Ovis aries: one gene and its partners. The protein of the gene in region 3 purifies or fractionates together with the protein of the main gene of each other region. This does not show direct contact. Links are inferred from orthologs where the notes say so. Each region holds a gene or a part of one and is shown on either strand. Other genes may lie near its edges. The genes, in order: EXOC7, EXOC6B and EXOC3.

What was found.
Region 1: the proteins of EXOC3 (region 3) and EXOC7 purify together in Homo sapiens (affinity purification with mass spectrometry; 5 studies listed by BioGRID and IntAct, counting the BioPlex papers as one, with this or other methods). This does not show direct contact. The link is inferred for Ovis aries from reciprocal best matches to the Homo sapiens genes EXOC3 and EXOC7.
Region 2: the proteins of EXOC3 (region 3) and EXOC6B purify together in Homo sapiens (affinity purification with mass spectrometry; 3 studies listed by BioGRID and IntAct, counting the BioPlex papers as one, with this or other methods). This does not show direct contact. The link is inferred for Ovis aries from reciprocal best matches to the Homo sapiens genes EXOC3 and EXOC6B.

Annotation. Positions count from the first base shown.
Region 1 is NC_056064.1:54,905,236-54,908,984, reverse strand, and holds the start of EXOC7 (exocyst complex component 7), read right to left. Parts: upstream 2,570-3,749; 5' UTR 2,504-2,569; coding exon 2,444-2,503; intron 2,257-2,443; coding exon 2,191-2,256; intron 1,068-2,190; coding exon 883-1,067; intron 695-882; coding exon 589-694; intron 1-588. UniProt on the Homo sapiens protein: Component of the exocyst complex involved in the docking of exocytic vesicles with fusion sites on the plasma membrane.
Region 2 is NC_056056.1:94,435,198-94,438,846, forward strand, and holds part of EXOC6B (exocyst complex component 6B), read right to left. Parts: intron 3,107-3,649; coding exon 3,009-3,106; intron 1,539-3,008; coding exon 1,433-1,538; intron 584-1,432; coding exon 474-583; intron 1-473. UniProt on the Homo sapiens protein: Component of the exocyst complex involved in the docking of exocytic vesicles with fusion sites on the plasma membrane.
Region 3 is NC_056069.1:71,721,407-71,725,155, forward strand, and holds the start of EXOC3 (exocyst complex component 3), read right to left. Parts: upstream 2,403-3,749; 5' UTR 2,280-2,402; intron 1,247-2,279; 5' UTR 1,188-1,246; coding exon 1,044-1,187; intron 1-1,043. UniProt on the Homo sapiens protein: Component of the exocyst complex involved in the docking of exocytic vesicles with fusion sites on the plasma membrane.

The DNA of each region.
Region 1 (3,749 bases), on a different chromosome or scaffold from region 3:
CCTGCAGTTTTCTGTGTAGCCAGGTGGCAATGGTTACACAATGTGAATGTCACTGAACTGTTCCCTTAAAGATGGTCAGAAATGGTAATTTTTATATTATTTATTTTTCAGTACAATAAAAAATACCCATGCATTTATAAAAATCAAATGTTAAATCTGTATTTCATAGGTAACTTGTAATGTGTGTTCTCTGCTGGCTCAGTGGTAAAGAACCTGCCTGCCGATGCAGGAGATCTCTGGGTTGAGAAGATCCCCTGGAGAAGGAAATGGCAACCCACTCCAGTATTCTTGCTTGGGAAATCCCATGGACGGAGGAGCCTGGCAGACTACAGTCCATGGGGTCACAAAAGAGTCAGACACAACTCAGCAACTAAACAACAACTTATAATTTAGCTAAATTATTAAAATGCAATCAAAATGTAGACCTGTAATTTCTGAAACAGACATTTCAATGTCTGTAGTATGTGCATGGTACTATATACTTCTCTTCATTCGACTATATTATCTTTTAGCTGGTTCAGTGTCTCATGAGACCCGGACAGGGATTGGTGTCTCCCAACCTCTCACATCACTCTGCTGGCCCCTTACCACTTTGTTGAGCTCTGGGCTGTCTGGGCTATTGTCCTGGAAATATTCCACAGCCTTCTGAATCTTGGCCATGCTTCCCAGATACTCCTCTAGCCTACCTGTAGGCCTGGAAAGGAGAAGAACCATATTAGCCCGGGCAGATGGAAGATGAATAGGAAGGACTAAGGGAATGGTATTTGGAAATGGTGAACAGAATTAACACAGGGGACTCTAGGCTCATATATATTCTACCCCGCTTCCAAAGCCTACTGGTCCAAGAGGCGTTAGGAATGTGACCCTCTGGTCCGAGCTCACCCCTCTCTGATGATCTTCTCAGTGTCACTGGCCACGTGGTAGTAGCTGATGACATGGTCCAGACAGGACAGGGTCTTCTCGACATTCTCCTGCAGCCGCTGCAGGTTCTCCGTCTGCTTGTGCACGGGGATGATGGAGTTCTCCAGCTTCATAAGGCGACTTTCAAAGGATGACAGGATAGACACCTACAGGGGGAAGCCCCGTGCTCTCAGGCCTCAGGGTTGTCCCAGCACTGCTTCTGCCCCTTGCCAGGTCTTCGCATTTGCTGCCTTTTCTCTGGTTTTCTAGACAGTAGGCTCCAAGAGGAGAGGGACAGGGTATACTTATTCCCCACTGTATCCCCAGGATCTACCACATGCCTGGCAGATCGGAGGTGGCCCAAATAAATTGGCTGAAGTTTGATTTGAAGGCGAGGCAACCATTACATTAACTTCTCAGAAAATCACCTCAGGATGGCTTCCCTTCCACCCTTTAAAGCCAGATCTCAACTTATGTTCTCCCTGATGCTTTCCTAGACTGAACAGGAACTACTTTCATATAGAGTAGCCTCAAGGTACTCTATACCAGCATTCCTGGTACCTTCAAACCCCCTCTCTCTAAGGCTAAATCTCATTAAGTAAGGACTAGCACCTGATGACTGTGTTACTGAATACATACCCACCTTTCTATCTACTACTCAGTTTGGGTTTTCCAGGCTCTTTTCAGAATAAGAAAGGAAGTTCATGTTTATTGAGTACCTATTGTATACCAGATACTGTGCAAGAGGCATTTCCATGCATTAGCTTCTATGACCTTCACAGCTACAATGGAGATTGGCATCGTCTATTTTAGCAGAGGAGGTAACTGAGGCTCAGCGTTACCTGTCAGGAGCCACACACACATAAGTGGAGGGGCAAGGGCTAGATCCCGCATCTATCTGATTTCTGATTCATTTTACCCCTCCAGCTCTCCAGAGTGACGGCTGAGTCTCCTGCCCTCAGTAATCTCAGAAGTGGTAACCCCACCCGTGATACCCGCACTTAAACTAAGGGTGACCCATGGCCAGTACCCAGCCCACTTAAGTCAGTCTCACTAAATGTTTGCGGAAGGAGAGAAAGAAGAATGGAGAACTTAGGCAGAAAGCAGAAATGTGGGGAGGCTGCCGCATCCTCAGCGAAGTGGCGGGCAAGGGTGTAAGAAGTGTAACACTGTTGCTAGAGAAACCCAGACGTTACCACCCATCACCACCCAGGCCAGAAGCCTCAGGCTTTAGGTACCAAACCCCTGGGTCGCAGCGTCTGGAGGCCCTCCCAGCGAGGGGTTACTCACCATGTTCTTGGTGAGCTGGTCGCTCTTCTCCAGGCTGTCTCGGATGAAGGACAGCGTCTCCTCCTCCTGCGAGGGGGAGGGGAGGACATCAGCAGAAGCCAGAGACCACCGCATCCCGGCTCCACAGCCTCGCCCGGACCCTATTGCCTGGTACCCGGCCCCCTCCACTCCTGCTACCTCCCCTCCCTGAGTGGACGCCCGGCCCGGATCTCGGCCCCTTCCCTCACCTCCTCCCCCGCCTCCCCAGCCCCACCTGCTTCAGCTTGTCCTCGATCTCCCGCCGCCGGGCGGACGCCTCCTGCGGGGGAATCATGACTTCGACCCTCCCTGCGAGCGGCTCCCACAGCCGAGCGGCTCCCACAGCCCAGCGTCTGGCTTCAGAGAGCCCTCTCGGCTCCCGTCCCTGTCACACCCACTTCCGCCCGTGGCCCCCTCCCGGGGGCCCGTTTGCCGCCATGTTGGGAGTGGCAGGCGGAAGTGCGCCTGCGTGGAACTCAGGGACAGGGGAACCCGGCAGGTGGCCATCTTGGGTGTGGCGGGGAGGTGCACCGGGTTTCACCTTGATGCGTGTTGCCGCACTCATCAGAGAAGGTTCTCTAGGGGTGTTTTGTCCCGCAGCTGGCACAACAGTTACAGCTCACTTGCCGTCTTCGTGGGAAGGCTGACTCTTTTCACAAAGATTAATAACAAATTCGTTTGTCTGGATCCAGGCACAGATGAGGTGTTCCCCCGCAAAGCACAGCACAGAGCTTGTCACACAGCAGGCGCCTAATGTGTGCTCATTTAATGACCGAGGGACCTATGTAGTCGTGTCCCCCTTCGGCCCTAAAAGCTCTCACGGAATGCGCCCTGTGTGCAAGCCCTGGCCCGGGCAAAGAATGGTCGCCCATGGCCCCAGAGGCATCCATAACTACAATCCCGACTTGTGAGGGGCTCGGCCAAATTCCTGGGGTAGGAGGGGTTCTGGGAGCACTCATCCCGGGGACTGGGATGGGACCAGAGAGAAGCTCCAAGCGCCACACTAAGGTGTCTGTTTTGGAAAGAGAGACATGGTTTTATTTGCTGGGGGTGAGGGCCAGGCCGCGGGTAGCGAGTGGCTTCAGCGGTGTATTTGCCCAGGTCTGGAAACAGTGCAAGGGGAAGGCTGAAAAAGTCCAGACCTGTCCGAGGGGTTAGAACCCAGGTGGTGTTCTCAGTGATGGAGACGCTGAGGCCTATCTGCTGGTGCTCAGACACAAGGGGAGCGTTTCTCATAGGGCCGCTGAGGACATCAGAAAGGCCTGGAGGGCTGGTAGGGACCCTCCTGCAAGAGGCCAAAATATCTCAGCTCCTTTGCCCAGAGTCTCCTCTAATTAGGGGCCAGCCAGGGGTGGGGAGGTGGCCCTGGGTCAGGGTTCCTGCAGGGATGAATGTTCTAGATTCACCACAGACACAGCTCCTGCAAAACCTAGTATTACTCCCTCCTCCATTGCAGAGGCTCACCCTGCCTCTGGTCTCACCCTGGGGTGGTAAGTGGCTGCACAGCTTTGTTGAGGCATCCAGATACAGGAAGACAGACA
Region 2 (3,649 bases), on a different chromosome or scaffold from region 3:
AAGCTATGGTTTTTCCAATATCATGTACAGATGTGAGAACTGGATCATAAAGACCGCTTAGTACCAAAGAATTGATGCTTTCAAACTGTGATGCTGGAGAAAGCTCTTGAGATTCCATTGGATAGCAAGATCACAGCAAGAATTTCACATGCCACTCCTCTACTGGCCTTAACATTTCATCAATATAATGTAAAAACAAGAATATTATACTACTCTTTTCTAGTTTAACTCTCACTAGAAATGCAAATCTATAAAGGAAACAGTAGAGAATAAAGTAAGTAATATAAAAAGAAATTATTCAAGAGTTTCCAACTTCCCTTTTTTTTACCTGACCATATAAATAGGGCAGTGGCATACCATACGAGGCTTATATTACAACTTTCAAACTTGGAACTGAAGGGAACATCAAAAGTATTCCAGAATATTTATGTATATCTCAGTATCTACTGCACCTCCATTATTTCATACTATACCTTAGATGAAGATCTTCTGAAAACTTCAGACAGGCGTAGATAAATTCTTTAATTTGGTTGTAAACTTTTGGCACAAATTCAGAAAATGGAAACTTTTTTGGGAATGGTTGCTGTAAAAGCAAGAATTAATGAAAGTTACAAATGACCATACATTGAAAATACCTACTAACTAATTAAAATGCGAAAGAGATTTTCTTACACACTAGGAACTGCCTTCTTAACAACTCTACATTTTAAAAACATATTTGTGACAGTTTTCTAATACTAAAAAGAATACGATTAAATTAAGTAAATGATTCTAACATCCTGTAAAACCCAATAAAAAAATTCTGACACATACTCAGCAATAAAAAGGAATGAGTTATTGATATGTGCAACTTAGATGAGTCTCAAAAGCATCATCTTCAGTGAAAGAAGCCAATCTCAAATGGTTACACACTATATAACTCCATTTATAAGGCCTTTCAGAAAAGGTAAAAGTAGATGGATAGCAATGATAGTTGGTTGCCAAAAGCTAGGGGTTGAGGAGTAATTGATTAAGAAGGTATAGCATGAGGGAATTTGGAGGAATCATGAAACTGTCTGCAACATTGTTGTGGTAGTACATCCACCACAAAGCACAGTCAAAACCAATACAATTATATAGCAAGGTAAATTTTACTGTATATGTTGGATACAATGTCCTCAAAGTATAAGAAAAGCAAATATTTCAACGTGTAAGTCAAAAGGAAACCCTGCCAGAAATCTCCTAAACGCTTCAGAGGTGACAGTACCCCAAAGCCATTTACTGATTGATTCCCCAAACAGGAACTTCTGCTCCTCTAAGCTGAAAAATCATCCTTTGAAGCTGTTTTAGATTCCTAACTCACTGAGTTAGAAATTATGCCTTTAATGAGACTGATACAAAGAAAGCTTTAAGAGAATGCCAAATCAGAGAAGTTTATTTTAGTGTTCCTTACCTTTTCCAGCTCTGTATCTTGGAATGGGAACTGTCCTATCACCTTTTTATACATCTCTTCACTTGTTACTGGTATAGGACTGTAGTTGTCAGAATCAAGTATGTTTCTATAAAGAAAATAAAAGAAGAAAGGAAAGGAGGGAGGGATAAAATAAAAAAGGAAAGACAGGTGGGTTCATCAGTAGAGTGATCACAAATAACTTTCATAATAAACATTTCTTAGTCCCTAATCTATTCTTTTTACAGTACAGCTATTTGGTCTTAGGTAAGGACATCTTAAAAAAAAACACAAAAGGAAAATTGCATTCTAAAACAAATGGAACACAAATATAAAGATGACCTCATAGTACTTGAGATTTACAGCTCAGACAGAAAATTTCAAGGCAACATGTTGAAGCCTTAAGGCAAATGAGAAGCAGCAGCAACAACAAAAAATGTGAGCTCTGGAAAAGGCAAAGAGGTTTTATATGCTTTCTTAAAAAGAAAAATAAAGACTTTTCTTTAATTCTAGGCTAGATTTTCTATTTTATCAAACTATGTTCATGTACTTCATCTACTGCTTCATTAAGAATGACTTTTTCTTCATCCAAAGGTTCTGTGTCCTTAACTAGGCTAGGAATTCTGCAGAGCAGAGACCATACTACCAAAATCAAAAAAGAAATTTACTGAAGGTTTCAGATCACATGCACTTGGATATATCATGGTACTAATTTTCAAAGACAATCTCCCCTAAAGAAAATTATATCATTAACAAACAGGATTTTTTATAAATACAAATATTTATATTAATATACTAATGAGTTATACTACATAATTATCAGCTATATGTTTATAAAATGTGAAGAGTAAGATTAATGGGACAATGTAATACCTTAAAGCTATAAGAACTTGAAAACAAAGTAAGTTGACCTAGAGAAGTGGTCCTGCAGTAAGCAGAAAGATCACTTTAAATGAAGAAACAAGTGAGTTGACATGAGTTATGTGTGAGGAAAACATGTCCAAGGAAATATTTGTAAGAGAAGGTGTAATACAATAATTTTCTTAGCGTTGTATGCATGTTGCAGTAACTATTTAAATAATGTGCTTCAAATATTAGATTGTAATAGGTCTCTTCTTTGGATATGGAGAATAAAGAAGATGAGGAATAACATGAGTGAGTCTTCAAAAAAGTTCTAAAAAAGCTAAATTATTCAAAAGGGTTCAAAATCCACTATCCTACAAGCGAGACATAGATTAGGCATGATCCCCAAAGAGAAAATCAAAAATCAAATTAAGATGACACAAGGTGATCTAGTTGGTATGAACCAAGGTATTTACCATTTATTCAATGAAACAAATCTGGGGATTTTTGGGACTCCTCGCACAGTATGTACTAATATCCAGAGTTTGAATGTCTTGGGAACTTTATTTGGGATACCATTACTACTTAATTGAATTCCCAATCATAATTGGAATCAGACCTAGAAAAAAATAAGCCACATACACTTGTTGCTTATTATACCCGAAAACCCGTATTTATAAAGACGAGTGTACAAACATGCATGCCCACACACACTCAACTGCAGATAATTTCTCACCTGAAAATACCTGACCACTTCTTTAGCAAAGTTTCACTATACTGGTCTCTGATTTCTAATAACATGTCAAAAAGCTGATTTACAGGAAAACCATATACCTGAAACAAAATAAGAAAAAAAGCTTCATTTTTTAAGGTGATTTTTTTAAACAACATGAGAGAGATTAGGCACTGAAAGATAATTTTGTACTTTGGACAACAATTTAAATAAAACCACGATATAAGAATCTTCCATTCCCACCTAATATCTAGTGATTATCCTCAATAATTAAAATATATATACCAAAACATTTGAGCCAGTCAGAAAAAAATAAAAAGATGAACATTAGAATTAATATATATTAGATATAACTGTCAATGAAGTTTTCCCTATAACTCCTTCTGTAACTCTTGGCAACTTTTAAGAGTAGGGTCAGAAAATGAGAATGCTACCAATCTTACCCACTTCTAATGTTATTCTATTGAATATAATATGTGGTTCATATCAATAATCATTATCCAAAATAGTAGGTAAGAAAATAGTTTAAGAACTAATGTAGTGAGTCATTTAATCAATTTGCTATGAGAAAAAAAAAAGGGGGGATGAGAACAAATTATGAGAACATAATAGACAAGGTGATGACCAGGAAATGCTACAAAGAG
Region 3 (3,749 bases):
CATGGCTGCAGTCACCATCTGCAGTGATTTTGGAGCCCAGAAAAATAAAGTCAGCCACTGTTTCCCCATCTATTTGCCATGAAGTGATGGGACTGGATGCCATGATCTTAGTTTTCTGAATGTTGAGCTTTAAGCCAACTTTGTCACTCTCCTTTTTCACTTTCATCAAGAAGCTCTTTAGTTCTTCACTTTCTGCCATAAGGGTGGTGTCATCTGCATATCTGAAGTTATTGATATTTCTCCAGGCAATCTTGATTCCAGCTTGTGTTTCATCCAGTCTGACATTCTGCATGATGTACTCTGCATGTAAGTTAAATAAGCAGGGTGACACTATACAGCCTTGACGTACTCCTTTTCCTGTTTGGAATCAGTCTGCTGTTCCATGTCCATGCGAGAATTAACCTTCCTCAAATGCACTCTCTTAAATCCTCAAGACTGTTGTGCTGCCAGTCAGCAGGCCATGGTCTTAATGTTTTTATAGCTATACCAGGCATGCATTGTTTTAATAAAACCCAATTTCTCCATGTGAATTATGTTGAAAGCCAATCCAAATCATAAAAGATTGACTTCTTTCTTGTCTCATTTTCACACACACTAATAAATGTGTAGTGTTCTCTTCCTTCCTGCCCAGAAGGCCAACAGAATACCTGGTACACAGTCAGCATACTATAGCGTGTGCTAGAAGGACCCAAACAAAATGCTCTCTGGACACACTCGGTGGAAGAGCATTTGCTAAAGAACAAAAACCGTTATTCTGCTAGTGTTCTTTAAAAAGGTAAATGGACACTTCTGGATGCTTAAAGGGGTTGTTTCTTTGGTGTTTTCAACACCCCCCTGCCTACTTTGTCAATCTACTAACTGGCAATACATTATTGGAAAAAATGTGCTAAATCAAGGCAATGTTCACGTCTGCCTTCTTCCACATCCTCACAATGTCCAATCTGGCAAAATTACAACTTCGTTAAAGAACTTGAAACTCAAGATAAAAGGCCCTGTCCCGCTGGAGAGTACAGCAGGTGCTGGTGGCCACTCTGACCTCGTACCTTTAATCTGGCCTCCACAGAGGCCTTCTTCCGGGCCTCTCTTCTGCGATACTGCTCCACTTTGTCCAGCTGGTCAGGGCGCTGCAGCATTCCAGCAACCCTCTGGACCGCTGTTGCGACAGCCTCCCGGTCAGTCTCCTTCATGGTTACAAAGCAGGGAGGATGTCTGCACCTGTCATATTAGAGGCATCCTCTGTCCACAGCTAGATGGGGAACAGGGAGGGGGGATGTGTTAGAAAGGTAGAAATGTTAAGTGACAAAACTTACTCCCTCCACCAACAGTCAGCTGTCCACAGCAGAGCTATAAGAAGAGCATCTGAGACCATTAACCCAGCAACCCTGAAACCAGAACTAGGGTTATGAGCTCCTCGATAAGAAATACACTTTCAGAATTCAATCTTACCTTACAGTGGAGCAGGGGCAATTACAGGCACAAGATATTAGCACATGGAGGAGGCCAGATTACTCACATCAGACGGCAGTCTCCAGGGCACTTCTCTCCCCCAGACAGGTCCCCTTTCCCATTTCCAGAGCCTTCACACCGGCTCTGAACTCCCTGGAGGGGCGGCTGTGCCAGGAAGCCCCGGGGAAGATGCGGAGGCACAGGGCCAGTACACACCTCACCATCCCCGCGAAAGTTTCAGCACCCACCGTACGATTCCCCTCAAAAATCACTACCTGTAGAGTCTCAAATCCCACATCTTACTATTTAACAGCCTTAGTAAACAGGTGAGCGGGCAAACGACGCTCTCCTCAGGACAACGCACTGCTGCCTTCGTGCCGGCTCCACCAACATCCGAGCTGGGGAGCTCGGGAGCGTCCGGCAAAGGAGAGAGCGGACATCTGCCGTTAGCCGCCCGTTTCCACGCATGTTTTCAGTGCACCAATCTCCAGGACGCTCCCCATTCCCTCCGCAAACGCTGTCGGAGCAACACTCAGGTCCCCGCAGACCCTGAGGGGCGGGACCCGAGTGCGTCTGGCGCCCTCACGGACCTGGGCTGGGGCGCCGTGTCTCCTCGCCCCATTTCCGGGCCCTGGGCTGCGCCGGGGCCGGGGCGCCCGGGGCGGCCGCGGGTCTCCCGGCCGCCGCCCGCGCGCTCAGGTCCGCAACGCCTCCCTCCTCCGGGCCTGACGCGGAGTCGGCCCCGTCAAGGACGCGAGCCTCTCGACGGGACTCAGACGCCCCCGGGACCCCCCCCCCCGGCCGCCCGCACCGCCGCCTGGCCGCGCCCGCACCCGCCGGAGCCGGGGAAAGGGACGGCGGGTGGGGACCGCCACCGCCGCGCAGCTGCCACAGCTCGGCGAAGCCTCACCTCGCGGGTCGCCCCCGCCGCCTCCGCCGCCCGGAAGTGAGCGCTCGGCGGGCACTTCCGCTTCCGGCCTCGAGACTGGGAGGGCGGGGCCTGGCGGCTCGGACGCGGGGCCCGGGCCGCGCGGGCTCAGTGACCGTGAAGGCCGGCTGCAGATGGGGCCACGGCACCTAGAGCGGGGCTGCGGCGCGCACGCACCCCCCCCTCCACACACACACGTAAACACACACATAGACAGACACATAAACACACCCCAGACACATATCACATACCGACATGCCACACACTCCACACACAAATGCAGACACCGCACCACATGCACACACCGCACACACACAGACGTCCATACCCACACATGCACCATAGACACCACACACGCCCGCGTCAGCATCTGCGTGCAAACGCCTGGGTCGCAGAGGCAGGGGCAGGGAGGAGGAGGTGTGGAGCCCCCTACCTGCGGCCATGCCAACCAGGACCTACAGTCAGCTGACAGCAGAACACTCAGCAAGGGCCAGGACTTCAGCGCCTGACTGGCTCTGAGGGCTGACCCCTCTGTGATTTCATCTGTCCCTAATAATTTGTGAAAATATAGCACCATGCTGGGTCAGGAAGATCCCCTGGAGAAAGAAATGGCAACCCACTCCAGTATTCCTGCCTGGAGAATCCCCATGGGCTCTCCGCAAAGAGTTGGACCGGCTGAATGACCGAACACTAGAGAAACGAAGAATGTAAACAGATTCTAACTGTGTTTGAAATTCTGACTGTACAGGCATTTTGAAACATCTTCAGCGCACGAGTGGACCAGGGAAAACAAACAACAGAACCCAAAAAAGCAATGTCTCCCAGGTGCTGGGGTGCCCGGGTCAGGAGAGGATCTCAAGAAGACAGAGCTGGGAGCCTGTGCCTACCTGGGTTTGGTGCCCTCCTCAGTGGGAAAGCTCTCTCTGAAAGCCCTCAGCAGAAGACACCAGGAGCAGTTCTTGAGAGGCTCTGGCCCGGCGGGCTAAAGAAGGGAGCGAGGTACATCTCTGAAGCGTCCTGAGAGAGCGGAGATCTTGTTACACTGTAGCTTACACTTTGTTAAATATGAGGAGAAAGTGCAAGCAATGCCATAGTGATACTAGGAAAAGCAAAGCAAAGGACACAGAAGGAGGAGTGGAGACATGCTCACATAGACCAAGCATCAGAGCACAAGTTTAAAGCAGCTAGCTACCGTAAGAAAGATACGAGAAACGTGAAGAAACAGGACGGTTAAGTTTGGAGGAGGTTTGTGTTAGGTTAAAAAAAAAACCGACCAGGACACCAAAACAGTGTCTAACGGCCTTTTTAATGGCGAAGCGCTCCCGGGCGGGATTCCCGGACCCGAGCGAGTCAGGTCGAGGAAGTCCGCGCCCGG